3 linked regions of the Nothobranchius furzeri genome follow. Each later gene encodes a partner of the first gene's protein in a complex. Links are inferred from orthologs where the notes say so. Each region holds a gene or a part of one and is shown on either strand. Other genes may lie near its edges.

The links.
Region 2: wrap53 (region 1) and nop10 share a complex: the UniProt entries of both Homo sapiens proteins name them as parts of the telomerase holoenzyme complex. The link is inferred for Nothobranchius furzeri from reciprocal best matches to the Homo sapiens genes WRAP53 and NOP10.
Region 3: wrap53 (region 1) and nhp2 share a complex: the UniProt entries of both Homo sapiens proteins name them as parts of the telomerase holoenzyme complex. The link is inferred for Nothobranchius furzeri from reciprocal best matches to the Homo sapiens genes WRAP53 and NHP2.

What each region holds. Positions count from the first base shown.
Region 1 is NC_091742.1:83,816,055-83,824,330, forward strand, and holds the start of wrap53 (telomerase Cajal body protein 1), read right to left. Parts: upstream 4,579-8,276; 5' UTR 4,367-4,578; intron 3,844-4,366; exon of another isoform or gene 3,736-3,843; 5' UTR 3,696-3,735; coding exon 3,455-3,695; intron 3,369-3,454; coding exon 3,197-3,368; intron 968-3,196; coding exon 872-967; intron 729-871; coding exon 620-728; intron 1-619. UniProt on the Homo sapiens protein: RNA chaperone that plays a key role in telomere maintenance and RNA localization to Cajal bodies. Specifically recognizes and binds the Cajal body box (CAB box) present in both small Cajal body RNAs (scaRNAs) and telomerase RNA template component (TERC).
Region 2 is NC_091742.1:80,332,307-80,340,259, forward strand, and holds nop10 (H/ACA ribonucleoprotein complex subunit 3), read left to right. Parts: upstream 1-3,340; 5' UTR 3,341-3,468; coding exon 3,469-3,522; intron 3,523-4,420; coding exon 4,421-4,561; 3' UTR 4,562-5,164; downstream 5,165-7,953. Other genes in the region: uncharacterized protein, read right to left, coding at 332-400, 508-618, 1,020-1,174, 1,268-1,341, 1,411-1,925. UniProt on the Homo sapiens protein: Required for ribosome biogenesis and telomere maintenance. Part of the H/ACA small nucleolar ribonucleoprotein (H/ACA snoRNP) complex, which catalyzes pseudouridylation of rRNA.
Region 3 is NC_091750.1:25,731,919-25,740,111, reverse strand, and holds the start of nhp2 (H/ACA ribonucleoprotein complex subunit 2-like protein), read right to left. Parts: upstream 4,195-8,193; 5' UTR 4,082-4,194; coding exon 3,919-4,081; intron 3,849-3,918; coding exon 3,779-3,848; intron 3,579-3,778; exon of another isoform or gene 3,545-3,578; coding exon 3,439-3,544; intron 1-3,438. Other genes in the region: cornifelin, read right to left, coding at 7,710-7,832. UniProt on the Homo sapiens protein: Required for ribosome biogenesis and telomere maintenance. Part of the H/ACA small nucleolar ribonucleoprotein (H/ACA snoRNP) complex, which catalyzes pseudouridylation of rRNA.

The sequences.
Region 1 (8,276 bases):
TGGTCAAACTGGAGACCAGTTAGAAACGTCTTTAATACAATCACAGAACCAAGAGTCCAGAGTTTTTTGGTGTTTTATGTGGAGTTAATGATCCATTTAAGGTTTCGTATTATTGGATCTTTTCCCCTAAATAACCATCAGCTGACACGTCATAAATCATTTTCTGGGCAGGAAAAGCTGATGATTTACATCCCGTCCTTGCCAGGAAACCAAATCCTTAAAAGAGATGAAGGGTTGTAAATTTTTCAAGCAGCAGTTTAAAGACAACATAACAGATTTTTAATAAGAGTAAAACCCAAAAGGGCTGGTAGAGAAATACGTTTTCCACCCTTATAATACAGGATCTGAAGTCTCTGGGATGGAAGAAAATGGATTACATGTCAATTATTCCTGCTCAGCGATCCTAAACTACCAAAGCACAGCCTCCGTGTTTCTACTGAGATGTAAGAACTGCTTTCTGCCACACATTTCCTCAAGGGTTTGACCAATCTTAGCCCTCGACAGCTGCTGCTCTCCATGTGTTAGATGCGACTTTGCTCCAGCACACCTGATGTAAAACAGCAGGTGTTCAACAGGCTTCTGCAGAAGTTAAAGCTCTCTACCCAGAAACCCAGCTCACCATCTCAGGGAGGAGGTCCCAGCTGTAGCTGTAGATCTCTGGCGGGAGGTTGTAAACACGGAGGACGTTGTCTGCGCTGTTCGTTAGGATACAGGAGCCATCAGGAGCCCTGATGATGGAAGAGGAGGGGGGGATGACACAAGCAGAGAACAAAGCTCAGGGATAATGCAGCTACAACCAAAATAAACCCGATTTTATACAAATATGAACTTTTACTCGTGTGATTTAGTAATTAAACACCAGTGAGGTTACCATTTGCAGCCTTTGAGGTAATTCTCTGGAAAGTTGGAGTACTCGTTCCAGGAGCCCGTCAGCATGGTGGGGTTCTGGGTGAAGTCCAAACCCAGGCTGGAAGCAGAACAGAGACGAGAGCGAGCAGAAACTGAGTGGAACGAATGATCCAGGGGAAAGTCATCCGTTCAGCTGGAAACCAGTACTCGCACTTTGTTTGATTTTCTGTTACTCATGAAAAAAAGAGCTGCATCTTGTAGAAAACAACCGCTTTAACAAATGCCCTTTCAAAATAAGAGCATTTAGAAACAGAAATACATTAAACAATAATAAACATGTGTTACTAAAGTTTGTTTTATTTAGTCAAAAAATGTACTTCTCATCTCCAACATTTTTATTTGATTATATATGTTTGCCTGTATTTTTTATTTGCTCTGTGATGTTTTTGACTCAACTTTTTATGGCTTTGTTCACAAACGTACTACAAATCTTCACTGCGGCCTAATGGGTGCGCTACAACTAAGCAGGTTAAAACAGGGTATCTGCAGGTTTAAGGGAGCCAAATTTAAGACTTTTTAAGACCTTTTTAAACTTTGACCAAATTTAAGCAATTTTTTTAAAATTAAATTTAAGCTATAATTTCCAGCTATTGTCTGGAACCAGTGCTAACCACGTTGTAAACGTGGGATTACCCACCCAGTTACCATTAAACTTGCACTTCCCCGTGGCACAAACTCCCACTAGCTTAACCAGCTAATGTGCTCATCCAAAAATGGCCCCCTTTCACAACCAACTGAATGTGTACGGTTCCGCTTACGCCAACATCATACACAAAAAATGCTGAAGACTAACTAGAAATTCCTGTTCATTGGGTCTTTGGTAATTTAAGACCTTTGGAAACTGTATTTAAGGATTATTTGTCATTTTTAAGGATTTTTAAGGCCTTAAATGTAGAAAAGCAAATTTAAGACTTTTTAAGGACCTGCAGATACCCTGTTAAAAACAAAAACACTAACTTCAAAATTCTGCTTAAAAACACATTTTTATTAGATTTGCTTAAAAAAATAACATAATTCTGAAATATTTTCTTGAACGACCAATTTAATTATTTCTCTCAGACATTTTGTGAGCTTTTTCCAGTCAAATGTTTTTATCTAACCTTTTGGGGTCTGCTGTAGGGCCCTGCAGCTATCGAATATTTTTGTAATCGAGTACTCTATCGAATATTTTATCGATTAATCGAGTACTCTAATAAATTACCCTTTTGCGTTTGTAAACCATTATATCAAACAGCATGTTATAAAATATGAAAGACCTCTTAAAATGAGCCCGCAATTGCCAGTTATTCTTCAAGTTTTATTCAAATTTAGTTTTCAAAACTTCAGCACTTCAACTGTAAACAAATGAGAGCGGCTGCGGCCCAAACAGAACCAGAACCGCTCACGGCGCATGCGCAAACATGGCTCGCCAGCTGTTTCCCTATTAACACCCGTCCGTTTTAATTTCTACACTTTTTTGTCTCACACAATAACAAGGATTGTCGAAAGCATGTTTGCCGTTGTTATGTCAAATTATACTGTTCACAAAACATTTATTTACTTTCTTTCGTTTTCCTCCGCCACTCATAAATACCCGTGTCCTCCTGCAGCAATCCTGAGGGACAACGGACATCAATAACAACACAATAAAAAGTCCGACGTGTTGTAAAAACTGCTATTTTTAGCACATTTTAAGACCGACGTGTTGCTACCAGACGCACGGTGTGAGCTGAAACTGAGTGCTACAAACGAAAAAGTCACAGTGTCTGCAGAATATATAGAAATACAGGCTAAAATGCATTATCTTGTAGAGGCTCCGAGTCCGCTTGCAGAAGTGACATTTACATGTGGATGTTTCCTGGTCAGGTGCTGCAGCATCGAGGATGTGGTGTTGTGGTAGGCTAAATCCATTTTACAGTTTTTAAACTAGAGTACGTTTTCCGCCTTACGACGTGAAAAATGGTCCCACACCTTTGACATTTTCTGTCTTTTTCGCACTCCACCGGGGTCCACGTTGTTCGCCATGGCTTAAAAGAAAGTTCAGTAGCGTCCGCTACTCGCGTGTGCATTCAGTGCAGTATGTATGTGCGTCACTTATTTCGGTCTGGGTGAAACATGACCCCGGGCGATTGCAAAGCCATGAATTAATTAAACATGAATGAAACGAAGCCTCGAGGCAGAGAATTTGACTCGAGGATTTTTGTACTCCAATTATTCGAGGTACTCGAGGAATCGTTTCAGCCCTAGTCTGCTGTATCGTTACCCTCGCTTTAAGAAAACAGAAAAATAAAACATTATTTGAACTCACTGCTGTCCTGCAGCAGGGCTGCCTACAGATTCATTCTCGTTGAGCGCCTCCTCCTCTTCTGGTTTTGTCTCAGTTTCCTCTGCATCATCAGGAGCTTTGGCTCCATTCAGATGACCTGCTGCCACGTCTTCCTCAGCCCCCTCTTCCTCCTCACACCTTTGTTCTATTGTTGCTTTAAACAGAACAGAAGAAACTATATAAATGATATATGTAAGTTTCAACTCTAATGTGTATAACTTCATATGAACAGGACTTTACTTTGTGCAGATGCAGCAGGGTTTTCTAACACACCACCTTGTGATGGGACCGCATCTTGTCCCAGCTCCTCCTCACTCCTCCTGGACCGTTTGGCAGAAGGTGGGAACCCCTCCTCTGAAGTCTCTCCGACTTCTACAGACTCACAACGTCTCAGTGAGGCCTGTGGAGGGGGCTCGCTGTCTGCTTCAGAGTCTGCACCCGCCAGGCCTCCACCCTCCCCACCTCCGGCTGAGTCAGACATGGCTGTGTCTCTGTCCTCCTCTGTCTGGTGTCTTTTTGTCCTGCTGGGAGAGTGCTGTCAGACGTGGGTGAGGTAGGTGCTACTAGGATAGTGCTTCTTCCTGCAGTGTGGACGATTGAGTCTGTCGGGGTTTGATGACATCACCCACCTGAGATAAACAGGTAACAGGATTGTGATTCCAGACCAGATTCTAGAAAACTGACCATTTCAAAATAAGAGCGTGAGAAAGGCTATTTTTTATACAATTATTTTAACTTTAAAAGACCAGCTAACATTTTAGAAACGTAATCTGTTACTATAGCAAAATGCATGGAAAGGTCGGGTTGAACGTATGTGAAGTTTGTGACGACTACAACTACTTAAATTTTAAGTTTTAACTTTTATACAAAGTTTCATCATTAGTGCACCTTAATTATAATAATTATAAAATTAAAGAGGCATAAACACGGATGTTCCAACACCTGTAGCTACTTTAACGAGCCTTCGTGTTCATTTTTAGCAAACCCGACAACTTGTTACAACAGCCGTCGTCTATTTAACTTCAAGTCCACAACATTCATGTAAATAAAGTAAAAACACCTTTGAGTCACGTTTTGGACCACTAACAGAGACCGCTACACTGTGTTTGCTCAGGTTAGCATTGACCGAGCTAACGGGTTGTTGCTACCTACCTGCGTTGTGCTTCGCCTGAGCGTTGATGCTTCGCTGTTTTCCACTCAGCGGTTTTTAATTTTAGACGAAAACAAATTCTACAAAACTAGACGAGGTCTCAGAGGTAGATAACTTAGTTGTCAGTTCAGCAGCTCATTGCGAGAAGTTGTAAACACCGTAGGCGGCCATGTGTCCTAAAGTATCGCGAGACTTCCGTTTTAGAACGTTGCTAGAGCAGGTTACATAATTAGTGGACTTCCTAAAGGAGAATGAATCATGTTTAGACTATATTCGCTTAAGAAAACGCTCAATTTAGTTGTTTTACGGATGTTAGGAACACCTAATGTGAATGTGATACGTTTTAATAAACTAAATGACATTCAAAAAATAAAATAAACAAGACAAAAAATCTGACTTTTTCCTCTAACATTTTTTTTCATACATTTTGATATGCAAATATTTCGCAAGAATTAAATCTTTAAATAAACAGTTCTGACAGATAAATGTGGTTTATTTAGTATTTATTTTGTTCTTCAAACATGAGTCAAACTATTTACACAGCTCTGTTGTTCTTCTCTGAAACAGTTTCATCAAATATAAAGTATGCTGTTATATCCAACAACAATTACAGACTTGTTAGAGAGGAGCTGAGCTGACCGGAGTAAAATTATCATCAAACCATTCTGCAAATTCATATCCACCCGTGCACCAATCAGTGAGTTGTGTTTGAACCAGAAACTAGTGAACGTGATAATAAAAGCCTTTGTAGTGCAGTAAAATAGAAAAGCAGACTGAGCAATGATTAAGCTCACATATTCAGCTTAAAAACAGGGGTTTGTAGGCAAATTAGACTTTATTGCATAGTTAAAAGCTTGTCCAAGATTTGTTTATAATCTCAAAGTGTCGCGGCGTACCAAAGTCTTGCTGGGATGAGTTTGACCTCCATGGGCATTTATTAGAAGGTTAATAGGTGGTAGAAACAGCCAATTGTGTGGCTATAAATGTCACAAAAACCTAATACGTGACCAAAAAACCCTTTTTTTAAAATGTAATTTGACAAACATAGTTCAGGCTTACACAATGGACTGGTTAACTCCTATTCAGTGCTATTGAAGATGTTCACCACCCAATTAATCTGTCAAAATTCATGTGATTAATATATAAAGCTTGTCCTTATAGGACAATATATGCATCTCTTACCAAATCTTCTGGAGTGTTAAACAAAAAGGAAACTTATTTACCCCAACTGCCTTTTTAACTAGGATCCTAATTAGACACCAATTTGCCCCGATCAGCTCAGCTCCACTGCACAGACTCCAGCTCTTTTTGAGCCTGCACCATCAAAAATCACCTAAATCTGAACAAATTCACTCTCCATTTTAGTGAAAACAAAAGCCTACCACCAGCAAAAAGATTTAAAAAAAAAAGAAAGTCAACACTTCCTGCTCTGTGTGTGTAGAACTAAAGGTGAGTGGATGGATGAGGTTTATGCATCGCAGCTCTTTAAGCCAACAGAAAACAGTTAACAAGGTGGTTTCCAACTAACACTCATTGTTGAGAACATTTTCAGTTAGCCATTCGAGACTTAACTATACAAAATAAGGCATGTTGAACAAACAAATAAAGCCAAAACCCTCTATGAGAAGAAACAAAAGGTATAGTACACTATTTACAAAGCTCATCGTGTATATTGATGAGTTGATGTGTGTGTGTGTAGATGGTTCTAGAGGAGCCACTGGAACGTTAGCTGTAAGTGTGCATGTAGTCTGTTTGCAACTCCTTTGGACTTGAGAATTTCTGCGTTGTGTAACCTGTCATGTGTTTGAGTCTTTTTTTTTGTACAAAACTTATTTTTTGGATTCCATCCAGTTCCACCGCTGTAGGAGTTTCCACCAGCCCAGACCTACAGCAACTCCTCTACATTATTTTGTCTTTGATTTCTAGGCAGGAGGGTGGGTTTTAGAAGACCTCTACGCAACCATCCAGGAGCTTCGGGCAGAGATGAGCTATGATCACCATGGCAACGCGTGCCTATTTGTCCTCTTCCTCACTGGAGAGCATCTAATCAAATCCAGAGCTCCAGACTTCCAACGCAGATGGGACTGATGGTTGGTATCCGACCGATGACAGCCTGCTCAGTCCGAGGCCAAGACCAGAGTCTTTGGGAGGTTTAAAGGGCAGCTTTACTCAAACTGACTCACGGATCGGCTGTAGATTAAATCCTCCTCGCAGAGGGCAGCAAATAAAGCAAAGCCGAGCTCCTGATGGAAGACAGAGAGAAAAAAGAAACAGCGCAAGTTTAAACGAGAATGTATCAACGTTAGGACTTGGTTTTAATGACATGAGGTAGAGGAGTAGTGCTTTTAGGGTCCATTAGTTTTAGGGGAGTGGTGACTAATCCTGGTACTCTGAGGCCACCACGCAACATGTTTTAGTCGTTTCTCTGCTCCAAGACACCTGAATTAAGCAGTAAGTTGAACACTTTGTATCAAGAATTGACATCGGAATAACAAACTCATTTATTCATAACCAGTAGCTTAGATTACTGCAATGGCCTCTTCAGAGGCCTCCCAAAGTACACAGTTCCAGCTCCCAACATGCTGCTCTTAAAGGAACAAAGAAATCATACCAGAATCACACTGCTTGTATTAAAAAAACTTAATAGCTTGGCACCACAATGCATAAGAGACATGTTAGTCTGCAACACACCAGTCAGACCACCAAGGTCTGCAGACCATGGAAACCTGGTTATGCATTGTACAACAGTGATTTCCAACTCCCTTCCCTGAGGACCAGTTTGATGAGCTTCTGAACAGGTGATTCAACCACTGAACCGCGCATGTTGGAGCGGGAAAAACACTTAAAAGATTCTGAACAAGGGCCCTCAAAGACCAGGGTTGGAGACCACTTTTGTGGGAGACAATTGAAACAATATCCTCTTCTGCTTATTTGGGTTTGGGCCTGAGCAGAGAGGCCCAGACTTCCCTTCCCTGAGCCACTTGGGCCAGCTCCAGAGAAATCCCAAGGCCTTGCCTGGCCAGCCAAGAAACAAGGTCTCACATTGTGTCCTGGGTCTTCCTTTGGGTCTCCTCCCAGTTGGGGGGTGGCCGGGAGGCATCCTAACCAGATGCCCAAGCCACCTCAAATGTTTCCTCTTGTAATGGAGGAACAGCGGATCTACTCCGAGCGCCTCTCGGATGACTGAGCTTCTCACTCTCTAAAAGAGAGCGCAGACACCCAGCAGAACAAACTAATTTCAGCTGCTTGTATCTGCGATCATGTTCTTTTGGTCACTATCCAAAGTTCGTGACCATAGATGAGGGTGCTGCCTCGATTAGTCGATTCGTCACGATGTTGACAAACAAAAAAGGTCAATACATTTAATAGCTGATCTCGTTTATTATATGAAGCATGTTTTTTGCATCTTGCCTGCTGCAACAAAACTGCTGCTTTCTGTCCTGCTCGAGGCACATGCGCAGTAGTGGCCATCAGAGTCAGCGTCACATCACCGGAACAAACAAGAAATGGCAAGCTGCCACTGTAGCTCAAACGTTTCAGAGCATTTTGCAGAGAGAAAAGAGAAGCATGTACAGTGCAAAAACTGCAAAGTGAACCCTCCTTTCCCGGGAGCACAACGGTGATGCATGAATACCTTAAAAGGGAAGCAGGACAGTCACCTCTGTAAGCTTTTGTTAGCTGCTAACATCAACAGGGAGTTACTTGTAGTTATAGCTTTTGCAACATTAGTGATGGCGATTTTCTTACATTTAGATCACATATGCCACGTATTTGCTCTAACGTTACAAACGCTAATGCTTTATTGTATACCGCTTCGTCAGTGTTAAATAAAAGTGCTCCCCTTCAATGGACAAGTGTGTTACAAACCCAACATCCACACCTCAGCAAAAAAACTTTCTGATCAGGGCCATT
Region 2 (7,953 bases), about 3.5 Mb from region 1:
CACAAAAAACAAGAAAATGTGCACAATTAAAACAAAAAGACCTGATTTAAGATTAAAGATATATTCTCTATCTCTTTTAGTTTGAAACCAACCCAGGTAATCTGCTGAGTTAGACATTTCTGTCAAATGTAAATAAAAACATGAGATGAGTTCTACTTTACAATAAAGCTCCATTAGAAATGGCTAATAAGGAGATGATTGTCTTTTCTTACCAATAAATAACGCTTAAACATTTATTAAGTGTTAAATGTGTATTATATCTATAAGCCATTCATAAGGGCAGCCCTACTCTAACATGGTCCTGTGAGATCTTGTCTAAAGCTTCTGTTACCTCCTGCTGCTGCTCCAGGGCTGAAGACAGGATGGAGTTCAGGAAGTCAGGATCCAGGCTCCACTCCAGCTGAAGAAAACACACCAACAGTTGTAAAAATAAGCAGCCTTTTACAAATGAAGGCAACCTATCCTGTTGAGGACTGATGTCATTTTGAGATAAAGAATTAAACCCACAGTTTGGACTAAGTCCTCGTGATGACCTAAGTCATCCAGGTACTGCAGACACAAGGTGTTTTCTGCTGTTTCAGTCTCGTGTCTCTGGTCTTCTCCCGTGTCTTCTGTGGCCTGAGGTTTACACGACAAATACTTATTAAAAGGGGATCACACATGTTTACAGATTACTACGTGTTATCTAGAGGAATTAGGGATGTAAGAAAATATCGATACTCTGAAATATCGCGATATCTTGTGTTATGACACGGAATCGATAATTAGAAGAAACATGTCGATTTTTTTGTTGAGAATTTTTACTCAAACGTTTACTTTTTGTGTTTTAGTTAGTGCAATTCAAACTCCAACTGCTAGGTGGCAGCAGATTTTACAACCTTCAGTCTAAAAACTACGAATATTGTTTGACTTTTAGGATCACACAATATCGTACATATACATGAACACACACACACACACACACACACACACACACACACACACATGTACATACACTTGAAAACAAAAGCATTTTCAACCTCAGAACAGAGGGACTTCAGGGCAACCATGCAGTCCTCACAGGGTTCAAACTCGAGGTTTTTCTCCCAAGAGGACGAAGGTCCTGGAGGAACTTTGAGGTACTTTTTGAGGTTTTGTAGTTCTTCATTCTTGTTAGGCGCTTTCTGCTGTCCATCTGTGAGGGGAAGGACGCACGGCCACAACTTGACCATAAAACCTTATTATTGTAATTATTTATACTTTTCTACATAAATTACTGACGGCTGACCTTGAGTTCCAACCAGACTCTTGTCCAACACTGATGGCGGCGTCACCGTTTTATCCAGCAGTCTGTTTTGAATCCTGGAGTCATAAATGTTCAGTTAGACTCTGATTTTACAGTTGGGTGCAAGATGATGCCTCTAGACTCACAGAGCTGAGTTGTGGGTCTGCTGGACAGGAACCTGGGTTAGGCACCAGCTCATAGGTTGGATGAAAGCAGGGAGGAGACCAATGCCACTCCAACAGAACCCCTGTGGGCTGCTGGAGGGAACCAGCATACACAGAGGAGGTCTAAAGGGAGGTGCGTGGGAGATGAAGCTCCTAGTGGGCCTTTGGGAGGGCTGAGGAGCAAAGGGACTGCAAGTGATCAGTGTAGAGTTATTCTGGACCCAAGAACAAGGTGGTAACACCATCAGGTTCAGTGGAGACACCAAACAGCTGGGGATCAGGCTTGGATCTGGGTTCCTACAACTGGCTGAACGATGCAGTTGATCAGGTACACCCATCCATCTGTGCAGCTCTGCTGCAGTCAGAGACTGGGAGCTTTCACGACTTGTTTGTGGAACAGGGTCTGCCGGCCTTGTGGGTCTCGGCTCGTTCTGTGAAGAACTTCCTCCAGAATCATCTGAGATGAAATCAGGGAGGGAACACTCCTCGAGATTCATTGTGGAGATGCTGAAACTGTTGGACAAAAGATGGAAGTTACCTCAGACAACTTCTCAGCATGTAAATGACTCCCAACATAAAGTTAGAGTCTGCTGTGAGGTTTTCTGTTCCTATCTGTGTTTTCAGGGGACATTTTAAAAGGAAACACATGTGAAGGAAGGTTTTGGCATGAAAACCTGTGCAGAACCAACCCTCTCTCAGACTTAGGAGGCTGCTTTTAAGTACCAGAAAAAAATAAACAAAGACAACAAGACTGAAGCAACAAGTACTTTGTAACACCGCACACTCGGCTAAGGTTGCAAATATCTCCTCTGACTTGGTTCTTTAATTGGTTCTTATATTAATTTAAAACAGCAATTTGAACATATTTGTTTCACTAGATAGGCTTAATGAAGAAAAATAAGTGTTCTCAGTGGAAAAAGATGTACCGGTAATAATTTAATGAATGAATTTTCATGGACTTACCTTTCTCGTTTGACATGAGTAGTTTATGGTGAATGCTGCAAAAACAGATTCCAACTTTATGTCTGTTTGAAAGTAAACATCATTATTGTTTAATTTTGAATGTGAGCTTTTGGATTTCATAATTCTGGAAGAACTGGATTTAAAGAGCAAGTCAACCCGTACCAGATTCTAACTCCACTCCCACTTCATGTTTGAAAAATGCAACAAATGCTGTTGCCTGGCAGACCGAGAGGGCGGAGCTGCTAACAAATACACAAACACACAGGCATTGTGACATCATAACGTACCAGTTTACATCATAGCATACCTCTTAGCCAATAGCGGTGGCAGATTTAAATTAGAATACAGTGCAGAATTTTTACCTGACAACGGCACAACACTGACAGTTTTAGGCAGAATATCTAAATTTTAACTAAGATGCACTGAAGTGCCAAATTATTGACGGCACATGTCTGCAGCACGATTAGACACTCGTTTATTTAGTTTATCAGCAAAAAAAGTTTATTTGGGGGTGACTTGTTCTTTAAATAGTTTTTATATTTTATTTGTTTTATAGCACAGCAGAATTTTCATGCAGATGTTCAAGAATGTGTTTGGTTGTTTTGGTTAAAAACACATTGTGTTTTGTTTTGAAATTGGACCAGTAAAAGTTACTCTGTTACTGATTCAGCTAAGGGCCAAAATACTTTATTTGTTCTCGGAAGAAAATTAAATGTTGTAAATCGATATTCAGAAACAATAATTATAACAATCTAATAAATATTGTTATAATAATAATCATCTCATATAATTCAAGATTCTTCAAAGAGTTGTTATAGATGCTGGTGGGTCTGTAAAACGTTGAGAGGTGGTTAGAATAAAGCATAAAAGTTCTGAAAATGCACTTTTATTAGTGTGTGATATTCAAAAGAGCCTAATTTGCGAGTAAACTCAGTTCCCCATGATTCCAAGCGGCCTGATCATTAAACCGGATATCCGACTAGAAAGTTCGTTGCACGTGGATCCACGTTTTCTAGCTTCCTAAAATAAAGTTGGATTTTTTAAAACTTATAAAGCTTCATATCAAGACTTTTCGTCATGTTTTTGCAGTTTTATCTTAACGAGTCTGGAGACAGAGTATATACTCTGAAGGTAATTTGTGTGTGTTGTTCGTAACATGTCTTCTCTCCTATCAGTTTCACGTTTTAGCTCATTACATTTAAATTTATTTTGTTGGAAAACGAAAAGTAACATCACGTGGCTTCTATTAAAACATAAAGGAGCAAGTCAAACCAAAAAAATCTCAAGATGTGTTATTCGTGTTGTTTTCACGTTAGCCTCACATGTAGCTAACATTGATAGCAACTAGTATCTAACATGGATAGCAGCTGAGCTAACAAAGCATGGCAATGCCGCTTTATTTATAAAGGCTACTTCATACCAGGCAATTCAAAGTGCTTTCCATGTGCAGCCAGCAAAATAGCGGCGAACATGGACAGTTGCAATTAGTGGCTAACGTGGAAAGCTTGTAGCGAACCAGTATAAACACAAATAGTTATATCCCAGATCGCCTTTGTGTGTTTTTGGACAAACACATTTGATTTTAGCTTCTGATTTATACCATATAAAAATCCTTTGCTTTTAATACGTCAATAACCGAAACGTAACAGTTTAAATTAATACGTCAATAACCGAAACGTAACATAGTTTAGTGAAAAATGCGTAAAATTTAGTTTTTACGCATGAAATAAAAAACTCTTTACATGTTTTAAAAGCTGATTGTACTTGCAACTGAATAGGTTATTACTGTAAATCAGAGTAGTGTTACAAGAAAATGAATCAAACATATGTTAGTGAGGGTTTATTTTATTGTATACCATAATAGCCATCATATTCTAAAAGGTGAATTTAGGTGTTACACTTAATTTCATCCACGTATCTTATTTCGTTGGTGAAATGTAAAAAAAAAAAGCTGACATATGCCTTTATTTTTCAAATCAGTGTTCTTCCCTAATGCACACATATTTCCCTTCATCTTTGCCTCCAACAGAAGGCATCTCCTGATGGGCAGCCCACCAGCTCTGCCCATCCGGCTCGTTTCTCTCCGGATGACAAGTTTTCCAGACACCGAGTGCAGCTGAAGAAACGCTTTGGCATTCTGCTCACCCAGCAGCCCAGGCCAGTCCTGTGAGGGAGCTGGAAAGAGTGGAGTGAGGAGGCATGGATGGATGAAGAGCTGAAGATGGCAACATGGATTTTGAAAGGACACTTGGTGTGTTGGACTTGCTGGTTTGGATCGATTACATGAGGTCTTTAGATTTTAGTAGAGGTTATTGTCATTTTTTATGCTTAAAAATGTTTGATGAATTTTCTTGAATACTGTTTGAATTCAGGATTTGATGGCTAATTCTCCTTTATTGCATACATTTAAACAAGTAAGGTATACTTGACATTGTCTGCAGTAAAATAATACTATGTTAGCTCCTATAACCTCTATTTGTATGCCAGTTTTATTTTGGGGGGGACGACGACATATAAGAAAATTTGAGTAGAAATAACATTTATTGTGAATATAAACTAGAATTTGAAATATAAGGTGTTTACTATTCAGTCATGGTGTGTAATTTATGAGCTGCAGACAGTTTCCCAGAGGTATTTTTGTTTGTGCTAAATGAATCTTGACTATTCACAAAACACTCAGTCAGTGACTGTTGAATGTCATGTTTTGGTTTCAGTAACATCTTGGACTAACTGAAAAGACAAAATGAACAGTAAAATAATTAACACCCTCAAAGCACACTTGTTATTTTGATCCATGTACTCAAAATACCCAGTGAGTGTTAAAATGTTGTGTTTTTAATGAAAAATTGCATCATTTTTTTCAACCTTTATTTTTTCCAGATAGTGTTTGATAATATTCTCATTTACAAACATCACCTGTCCGAGGTAATTTTGAGGTGCAGCGGAAAAACATTAGCTCATTTCAGCTATGTTGCTTTTTCTTAATATTGTTTAATTCGAACTTTATGAGCTAATATTTGCTAATTTATCAGTTTGAACATTTTAATGTGAAAATCTATTTCCGCGTGTTTTATGTTCAATATGAACTCATCCTTCTTGATGCAAACTGGTTTTGTGCTAAACTCAGGAAACTTGCTAAATTGTTGGAATAAAATAACGTAAACAACTTGTTTACGTAAAGACCACATCTCCCCTCACTATTGTCACTGAGTAAAACGACGCATGCGCAAACTTGCAACGGCAAGGGAACTAGGACCTGACGGGCTCACTTGCGTGAGTGTTTTTGGTGGGTTGCTTGGACGAAAAAGTGCAGAGAAAAAGCAGCACAGATGTCACCGGGAACTGCCGTACCCAGTAATGTTGTCTGAGGGAAACGTGAATCAGGTATGAGTTTGACCGTGGTGATGTGTGACATTTTTCACGGGGTGAAATTGTCGTTGCTGCTTGAGTGCTAGCTGGAAGCTCCGGAGGAGTTGACTGTTTATTATTGGCAGCGTGGCTAACCACCGGCTAATGCTAGCTGGAGCGCCTGAGACGGAGCTCCTGTGCCGATACCACACCTGTGTGTACCTGCTTCTGCCCGCACCGCACGGCGTTTAAACCTCTCATAATCTAGCATTAAGAACGGAAGATAAAACAAGTTTGTCCTAAAATGGGCTAATTTTTTTTTACCTCGCGCGCGCCTGATTTAAGCCGGTTTGAATGTAATAAAAAAAAACTCCCATATCTGCAGAAGGGGATAAAACACTGTTATCGCCATTATTTTCCACTAAAATCATTTTAAAGCTGGTTTATTTCTGTTTTGTTTCCAGCTCAAGTGTGTGTCATAACGTTCCACTGACCGGTTCGAGCCAGAAATATTATGGCCACTTTAATTGGCTTAGGATGGCAGCTGAGTAGCGGTTTGCATCATATCTAATTTGGACTTTCCTTATATTCCCATCAGGACTAACAACACTTTCTGTCGTAATTATTACAGATAAGTGTACAGATGTGTTTTTTCCCCATCTGCATCGTGTAATAATCATCGATTTTAATTTAAGTACATTTACGGCTGTTTGACAACGTCTGATTTAATCTTGGATTCAGTCAGGTGTTTAGTGTTGTTTTTAGTTTGGAGGTTTTTGGAGGCTCTGTTTAAAAACAACAGGCCTGGTATGATTTTACACATTGGTGATGCTGCAGGAGAACTGCATATGAAAAAACAAGGATTATGTAAAATATGCTGAGAGATAATCTGACGTGAACACCGTTTCCTGTAGAAATCGCACAGTCTCCTGTATCATCCTGCCAATTGGTTGTTTATTTGTTGTTATGACAGTATTTTAGCCGAAATCCTGTTAATTACCTGTCTGGAATAATTTAGTCTCTGTGGGGCAGAAAGTGGAGCAACTTCCTAACCAGTCACACTGGCTTTCCTCAGTCGGTAACTAGCTGTTTATGATGATTCATATATGTGTGTGTGTGTGTGTCAGGGACACACAAGTCAGTGTAGAAATCCCAGAATGCTCTCGAGTGGTCAACAAGACTAGAGCAGCGTTTAAAAACTACACTAATCACTTATTTTTCCATTTGCCTTAAGCAAACTAACCAGGAGTTTGTGCCAAATGTTGCTGGAAGTTTAATAATCACCCGCTCGTTCTTGGCAGGGTGATATTTTAATGTCTGAGCTAAAAAAATGGGCAGATTGCTGTAGAAATATTTGCCTCATGTTGAGATTTCTTTTAAAAAATTTTGTTATTTACAAGTTGCAGGTCAGCAAATGCATTCAAAATCAGAGATAACTGAGTCAATGTTAAATGCAGTTTAATAAGGATGATTTTATTTATTAGAACAAAATATATTTAATCCAGCATGTGAAAATGTAAATGCCCCATGTTAAATGGTGAATTAACTGTCATTAATCACATGATTTGGAGTCCAGAGCCGCACTCAGACTTCATTACTACAAGATTAGAGATCACTTCATTAGAACCTTCTTGGGGTCACAGTAGGTCAGGAGATAGAGTGGTTGTCTAGTAATCAGAGGGTTGTGGGAGCAATCCCCGCTCCTGGCAGAGAATGCTGTTGTGTCCTTGGGCAAGACACTTAACACACCTAGCCTGCTGGTGATGGTCGGAGGGACCAGTGGCGCCTGTGCCGGGCAGCCTCACCTCTGTCAGTGCGCCCCAGAGCAGCTGTGGCTATGATGTAGCTCATCACCATCAGTGTGTGTGTGTGTGTGTGTGTGTGTGTGTGTGTGTGTGTGTGTGTGTGTGTGTGTGTGTGTGTGTGTGTGTGTGTGTGTGTGTGTGTGAATGATACACTGTAGTGTAAAGCACTTTGGAGTCCTCTGACTCTGAAAGGCACTGTACAAGTGGGGGTCATTTATCATTTGGCTACATGAAGGAGGCTAAACGGTCTCTAACAGAAATACGCCATGGCGTGTTCTATAGAAGCAAGTCATTTCTGAATACACACCTGAGTTCAGGTACTCGTTAGGTCCCTGTAAGGTCCCAGGATCTGGTCCTTTGAGCTGGTCCGAGGAAATGGAGACACATGCCGTAAAGGTCCAGTAAAATG
Region 3 (8,193 bases), on another chromosome or scaffold:
AACACTCTAAATGTAATAAAAGGGAGATCTACACCTCAAAAAAGATTAACTCTAAACCAAAACGTAACAGCTTATCCCAACGCAAGAAGCTGTTAGCGAAGATGCTAACAGTAGCTTTACCAACGTTAAGTTCAAGTTACCAAGTTTAAATAAACCAAAAACACCCAGCAGCAAACAGACCAGCACGGAGGAGAGACTGCTACCACCAAAACAGCTCTCCTCATGTCTGAAAGAAGCTCCTTAATGAAGGGAGAAGCACTCCCGGTGATGTTCTACATCTGCGATAGACACGAAGCAGCGCGTCTGACCCCGGAAGTTGTTGTCCGTTGCCGGGAGACGAGGGCGGGCAAAACAGGAAAGGAACCTAGTAGTGGACGGACATTGTTCCGGGTCTTCGGTATTTGGCGGAGATGTTAGTGAAGGCGGAGAAGAGGGCGAACTAGAGGAAAAACAGGCAGATTCCTCCTCTATTTACAAACTCCTGGGGATGCAACAAGTGGGCGCGGTGCGTCGACTACCGGATCTGACGTCGACAAATTTTTAGAATCGAGCCGTCGACGTCGTCGAGGCTTCGCTACAGCCCTATGAAATACAGGCATCAGGGGAATTCAAAGATGTCCTTCAGGAAAAAGGCTGCGCCAAGCTTTGTCCCAGAGATGTTCCCAAACATGGAAAAACTGGCCATATGTGTCTTAACAATGTTTGGGTCAACACGCGAATCAGCCTTCTCTCACATGAACGCCATAAAAACAGAGAATCGAATGTCCTTGACAAAGGAGCATCTGCATCATTGTTTGCGGATCGCCGTCACCCCACACGAGCCTAACTTTTCTCATCTTGCCCAGTCAAGTGTCATTTTTCTCATTAGAGATCGATCAGTCTCCGGCAGTATGAGGACCAAACACACTATTGTTTCCTTTGATGTGCTTTAAAAGCCAGCAGTTTAATTTTGTTATTTTATTCAAAATGTAGATTGTTCTTATTTGCACAATTGCTCTTACCGTTTTAGTTTATGACTGTGATATTTCCACAAAAAATATGTTAGGTACTGCTACTGGGATTTCAGTCAAACTAAACCGTAGGGCTGTAGCGAAGCCTCGACGACGTCGACGGCTCGATTCTAAAAATTTGTCGACGTCAGATCCGGTAGTCGACGCACCGCGCCCACTTGTTGCATCCCCAGGAGTTTGTAAATAGAGGAGGAATCTGTCTGTTTTTCCTCTAGTTCGCCCTCTTCTCCGCCTTCACTAACATCTCCGCCAAATACCGAAGACCCGGAACAACGTCCGTCCACTACTAGATTCCTTTCCTGTTTTGCCCCTTCGTCTCCCGGCAACGGACAACAACTTCCGGGGTCAGACGCGCTGCTTCGTGTCTATCGCAGATGTAGAACATCACCGGGAGCGTTTCTCCCTTCATTAAGGAGCTTCTTTCAGACATGAGGAGAGCTGTTTTGGTGGTAACGGTCTCTCCTCCATGCTGGTCTGTTTGCTGCTGGGTGTTTTTGGTTTATTTAAACTTGGTAACTTGAACTTAACGTTGGTAAAGCTACTGTTAGCATCTTCGCTAACAGCTTCTTGCGTTGGGATAAGCTGTTACGTTTTGGTTTAGAGTTCATCTTTTTTTGTGGTGCAGATCTCCCTTTTATTACATTTAGAGTGTTGTGGGTTTTCGGTTTAGTGTAAAATATCACCTGAGTTTGGTTTAACCCGTAAGACCACTCGCCTCACGCACATAAGTGACCAAAACAAAGCAGCATGGAGACACTCCATCTTCTACCACCTCTCAGGCAGCAGCCTGCACTCCCAAGTTCTACACGTCACCAGAACATAACCAACCAACACAATAAAAGCATGGAAGGCCTGTAGTGTTTATTCTCTTACAGTAAGAATTTATCAATTTTTTTGAGGAATTTATTTGAGATTTTCTGGTTTTTGTTAATTGTGCAATAGAAAAATAATCATTAGATTAATTTTCTAAATAGTCATTAGAATAGTCGACTATTCGATAAAATAATCATCAGAATAATCGTTTTAAAAATAATCGTTTACCCCCAGCCCTACTAAACCGGTTGTTTTCTACGCTTTACTAAGCACAGAGCAAGTGCTGTCACTATGAGTTGTTGACTCAGACTTTTCTTTCATTTATATGCTTTAAAAGCCAGTAGTTTAATTTTGTGATTTAATTGAAAGTTTTGTTTGTTCTTATTTGCATAAAAGACATTGTAATTATCGTTACTGTGTTCTTTATGTGACCGTGATTTCAGTCAAACTACAGCTGGTTATGTTTTCTTGGCTTTATTTTAAGCGAAAACAAGTACTGTAACTGAGTTTGTGACTCGGAGTTCTGTTAAAACCAGAGTTGGCTATGTTTTGCAGTTTCTATTATTTTCACTAAAAACCAGCAGTTAATCCTAATGTCATTTGACTTGTTTCAATAAAACTGTTGAAAATGCAGCGGCACTTTGTTTTAATAGGTAAATATGAGATACGGGGAAATGTACGGCCCGCTGGCAAAAGCCTCATGATAATTTGGCCCAACAAAAAATCTAACCGAGTAGCCCTGCGTTAAAAGCTGTACTCTGGCCCCATGCATGCGCGGGTTTCCTCCGGGTACTCCGGTTTCCCCCACAGATCACAACACGCCCTATAGGTTATAAATTGTAAGTCGCTTTGGATAAAAGCGTCTGCCAAATAAATAAACATAAACATACTTGTGACAAACGGGCAACTTTAAGGTCACGTGACCACCACTACTGCTCAGCAAAAACTACGTCCTCGAGACTGTAAACACCCAGACCCTGGAGCAGAACATGATAACAACATATAAATGATGAAAACTCAGCAACAGAGCTGAGGCGGACTTTCGGCATTGCCATGGAAACCTGTAAACACTCCAGCTATCCAGCTTTGATCAAACAGCTGGTGGCATGTTTTAGTTCTGATGTCTTTGTAGTCCTCGTAAATCTTCCTCTATCCAGATGAAGGACGAGGCTCTGTACCTTCTTCCATTCTCATTTATCTAGTATCGATTAACAGGGTCTGCCTGTGGGCCTTGCTTTAAATAGAGATGATTCCACTCGAGCATCGTTGGTGGTACGGAAGCATGGATTCATTATAGCGCTGACGTTCTGAGCTCACTACGTGGAACCCCCTCCCCCCGGTGTAGATGGACCAGATATGCACACGGCCCTGATTTAGATCAAAACCGTTGGATCATATATACACATATATCATATATAATAATAGTACTAGTAATAGTAGTAATAATAATAGTAATAATAACGTTTAACACAATCAGAATCTAAAAACCACGACACCAGCCCTTTACCTCATAGAATGTGTGTTTTACTTGAAGTCAAGGGTTAAAACTGACGTGTGAGAAATCTGAAATCCTGACAACACCTGCTGACCTTTGACCCCAGCTCCACTCACTCACCGTTTTAGAGGGCACGTAGGCGTACGGCAGGCTCCTGTCCTCACACATGATGGGCAGGTGACAGTACACGTCGATGGGCAGCGTGTCGCCCGCCAGGACCACGATGCTGCAGAGACCAGACCGGGTTCAGGTGAGCACAGGTGAGGTTCTAACGCGCGGATGACTACGGTGTCCTGAATGGTTCAATGCGCTAAAACTGAATAATGTTCACATTTAAATACATAAAAAAAAAATTAGTGCGGAACTTCTTCTGAGGGACAGAAAACAGTGACGGACCGGACCACTACAGTAATGGGGACTGAGGTTCTGGACGGACCCGGGCACCGTGAAGCTAACTCACCCTTTCTCTCCTTTCTTGATGAACTTCTGAACTTCTTTCACGCCCCTCCGGATGTTCTTCACCTTAGCAGCTGAAATCAAAACACCGGGTAAAGAAGCGGGACACAAGCACCGGTCTAACGGGTCTCGGTGGTCTTTTACCCTTTTTCACGCACTTGTAGAGCTTCTTGCTGAGCTTCCTGGAGGCCAGCGGCTGAGAGATCGGGTTCAGGTGGGAGACCAGCTCCTGGTAGGTCCTCTCGGAACCACCGGCCGATGCGACCGAATCATTTGGATCCGCGTTTTCCTTCTTCGTCTTCGTCATCTCTGATAATCAATAACCGATTGTTGCTTTCTGCTTTCACCCAGCACGCACGTGTTTTAACTCTTGTCCCGGACTAACAGGACCATTGGACCACAGCGCCCCCGGCGGCCAGGAGCGGAAATGTCGGCAAAGTCTACAGAGGGCCTGTAGACGCGCGCGCGCGTGTGTGTGCGTGTGCGTGTGTGTGTGTGTGTGTGTGTGTGTGTAGAAGAAGAAAGTATCATTTCTATAGCGCCTCTCAGGATGAAAATCACGAGGCGCTTCACAAAAAAAAGTGTAAAACATAAAAAAATAATTTAGAAAATGGTTAAAATATGTTTAAAATGAGCAAAAAATAGACAATTGTGATTAAAAAAATGTAAAGAAAGAGAGAGAGAGTGAATAGATAGGGAAAGATCCTGAGGAAGGTGGAATAGGTGGGGAGAGCAGAATAAAGAGAGTGGTGAAGAAGGTCACACAAAAGCCAGCCTGAACAAGGGCAACACCTCTGAAGATAAGAGTCAAGAGGTGCTTCACAAGAACAAAACTAAAACATGATTAAAAACACATAATAAATTGTGAAAATGGAAAATTTAACATAAAAATGAGAGGGAAGAAAGAAAACGAGTAAGAAGAGGTAGCAGCACCTGAACAGGTGAGCGTTCAGCTGCATTTTAAAGGAGACCACTGGATGTAAAACAGCTGGTGGTCTGTTTTAGTTCTGACATCTTTGTAGTCCTCAGAGACACAAATGTATGATTATTGCTCCGTCTGGGAGAAGAACGATGCTCTGTCCTCTTCTTCCATACTCATTTATCTGCAGTGATGTGACATTCACGAGCAAATCAAATCTTTTGGTTTTCAAAGTGAACAATGAGAGCCGAGTCTCTGTAGAGAGCCGTTCATCTTGTCTTCCAGTACCAAGCCTCCCCGGAGGTCGGCAAAGCGCACCCGCTCAACCCCCACCCAGCCCGTGACGGACGTGGACAGAACGCTACCCATCCCAACCACCGTGCGCCCTCACATAAAAACCTTTTCTTTGATCTCACTTCTGATTTAGTGGAATGTGTGTGAGAAAAATGTTACGAAGCATTTTAAAGATGCAACAAATTCCACACAGCAATAATTATTATCTGTAAAATGTTGCTAGTTAACTCATTAAAGAGCAAGTCACCCCCTACCAGAGGCTTACTCCACTCCCACTTCCTGTTTGAAAAGTGCAACAAATGCTGTTGCCTGGCAGAGTGAGAGGGTGGAGCCACTAACAAACACACAAACACACAGGCTCACAACAGCATTGTGACATCATATAGTACCAGCTTATGTCATAGTGTACCTCAGTGTGTCCCAACCCTGGTCCTCAGGGACAACTGTCCTGGATGTTGTCCATGTCTCTGCTTCAGCACACCTGATTTACATCGGCTCTTCAGAAGGACATCAAGTGCTGCAGATGCCCGTTAATCACTGCTTCATTTAAAGGCCCCTTGTGTGAAATTCACAGAAATCATAGTAAAAAGATCCGACTCTTTAGCACCACGCAGTTTAGAGTCGGTATTGCAGCTATTGGAGCCCCCGAGGATCAAAAAGGTTTTTTTAATCATTATTTAAAACTTTATTAACAAATATAACAAATACAATACAAAATCGTGTTGCTGTAAACGGCAGCATGTCATCATCTAATTCCAGCTTTCAAGTCAGCGAACAGGTTAGTTGTTTTCATCTAACTTATTTTATTAATTTAATCTAAATAGGTTTTGAATAAGAAAAACTTTTTTATGTCAGTTATGTTTGCTAATAGCAAACGGCAGCTAGTTAGTGATGACTTCAGACTACAAAAAATGACAATATTTTGTTCATTTTATTTGAGAAATGTTATATTTCTATTTGCCATTTTGGAAATATACAAGGTAGTGTAGTCTGTAATTGTTTTCTCTCCGTAAACAGAGTCAGACATCATCCGATGGTTCATCAGTGGAGACAGACAGAGGACGAGGGAGAGGAAGAGGGCGAGGACAGACGTGTGCCAGCGCACAGAGAGGCAGAGGTGTTAGACATGCGACAGAAGCAGGGCAAGCATCCCAAGATGAAGGAGCCGAATTTGCTCAAACCAGCCGCAACGTCCCACGCACAAGAGGAAGAGGCAGAGCTGCAATAAAGTCTAGAAGATCGGCGCTTTCAAGCGCTTTCAAACTATCCCGTTTCTCAAGTTTGCTTGTAGAATATGTGTGATCCTCCATCGCTAGAAGTACGGTGTGGCTAGTTTCTTCTTCTTCTTAGTTACTTTGTCAGACTGCAAGCTTACAAGGCGCACTTCTGCCCCCTGCTGTTTCTTTGAGGTTACATCATTTAAAAACGCAAACATCAAATGCGAAGCTTAATATGTTGTATGTCCCTAAAAGGTCACTGTATTTTAAGATGGCGCATGCCATATGGAGCACCGGTCTGCTTCTTTTGTCTAAAATATTAAAATATAAAGCTAATAATAATGCTTAGAATAAATGCTTGTTTGAATTATCATTAAAAAAAACAAATTTGAGAATGTGATACAAGAAATTTGATAACTTATAAGATGAAATATCACACATTGGGCCTTTAAGTCAGGTGTGTGGCAGCAGAGACACACTGGTGTGTGAAAGGACAACATGGAGAACATGCAGGACAGTGGTCCCTGAGGACCAAGTTTGGGAAACACTGGACCTCTTAGACAACAGCGATGGCAGATTTAAAGTTAAAGTCCCAAAGTCATCATCACACACTGGTGAAATTCATCTCCACACGTGACCCGTCCCCATGGAGAGGAGCAGTGAGCTGTAGCGGTGGCTGTGCTCGAGAACGGTTTGGTGGTTTAACCCCCCCGATCCAACCCCTCAAAGCTGAGTGTGAAGCAGGGAGGTGCTGGGTCCCATTTTTAAAGCCTTTGGTACGACCCGATCGGAAATCAAACTCCCATCTCCAAGTCCCAGGGCAGACACCCCACCACTAGGCCACTGAGTGGCTTTAACCCTCTGGAGGCAGGTGTTGCAGATTAGCAACGTTAAAACCTACCTTCCCGGTTACTCCACATACTTATATCTTTCATGAGCATTTTTTTAACTCAGAAGTTCCCCTGAAGGACTTAGTGTTCGTCCTTTTATCAAAACTTATTTTGAGCCTGAGAGGGTTAAATGATAGAAATTCAAATGCAGTGCAGAGTTCTTACCTGAAGGGGGCGCAACACTGACAGTTTTAGGTAGAACATTTTAATTTGAACTAAGATGCACTAAAGTCCCAAATTATTGACTACACGTCTACAGCCTGATAAAATATAAAATAAACAAAAGCAGCAATTCTATAAAAAAAACTAAGATCTGAATGAAAAAACAAACCAGTTTTATCTCGGACCTCCGATTTGACTCACAGTCACTAAAATCAGTAATAAAACACAAAAGATGTCAAATCTGATGTCATTAATGACCTTTGATCCTATCTCTGAGGTCACACTTCAGGCTGTGTTCACGTTAAATCACAAAGTTTCTGTCTGAAACTGAAGAAAACACTAAAAAAAAACAAATCAGACAAAACAAAAGAGTAAAAACATCAAAATAAAAACCTATAGCACAAAGAGCCGAGTCACTTCTGGAGCAGTGATATCATGCTGATGACATCATCCTCAGCTGCTGAAGATGTCGCTCAGCACCGTTGGCAGCTGCCTCTCCTTCATCTCTGAGGCCATCTGACACCATACACACGGGAGACAGAAGGTGGAGCTCAGGCAATCCAAACACAGGTCACCCTGAAAGTAAACAAAAAAACAACAACAGAACTCACCCAGAGGGGTTTACTGTGAGACCTGTTCACACGTCCTTCATTCTGGTTCTATAGAACCTAAAAGTCCACAAGAGGTTCTGGTTGAATTTAGACTTTCATATAAAAACTTGTGATTTAATCGTCATTTCATTTAAAACTAAACAAATAGAACAAACCAAGACTTTGTTCACAGGATCAGATCCTGATGTCGAAAGCAGGATTCCTTCAGTTAGAATGCTGTTTGGGTTGGGTCAGCACCACTCTCATCCATAAATACCTCCACTGATAATTAGAGGCTCTGTGGAATCAGATCTGATTTCTACAGAATAATCAGAAATCAGGACCAA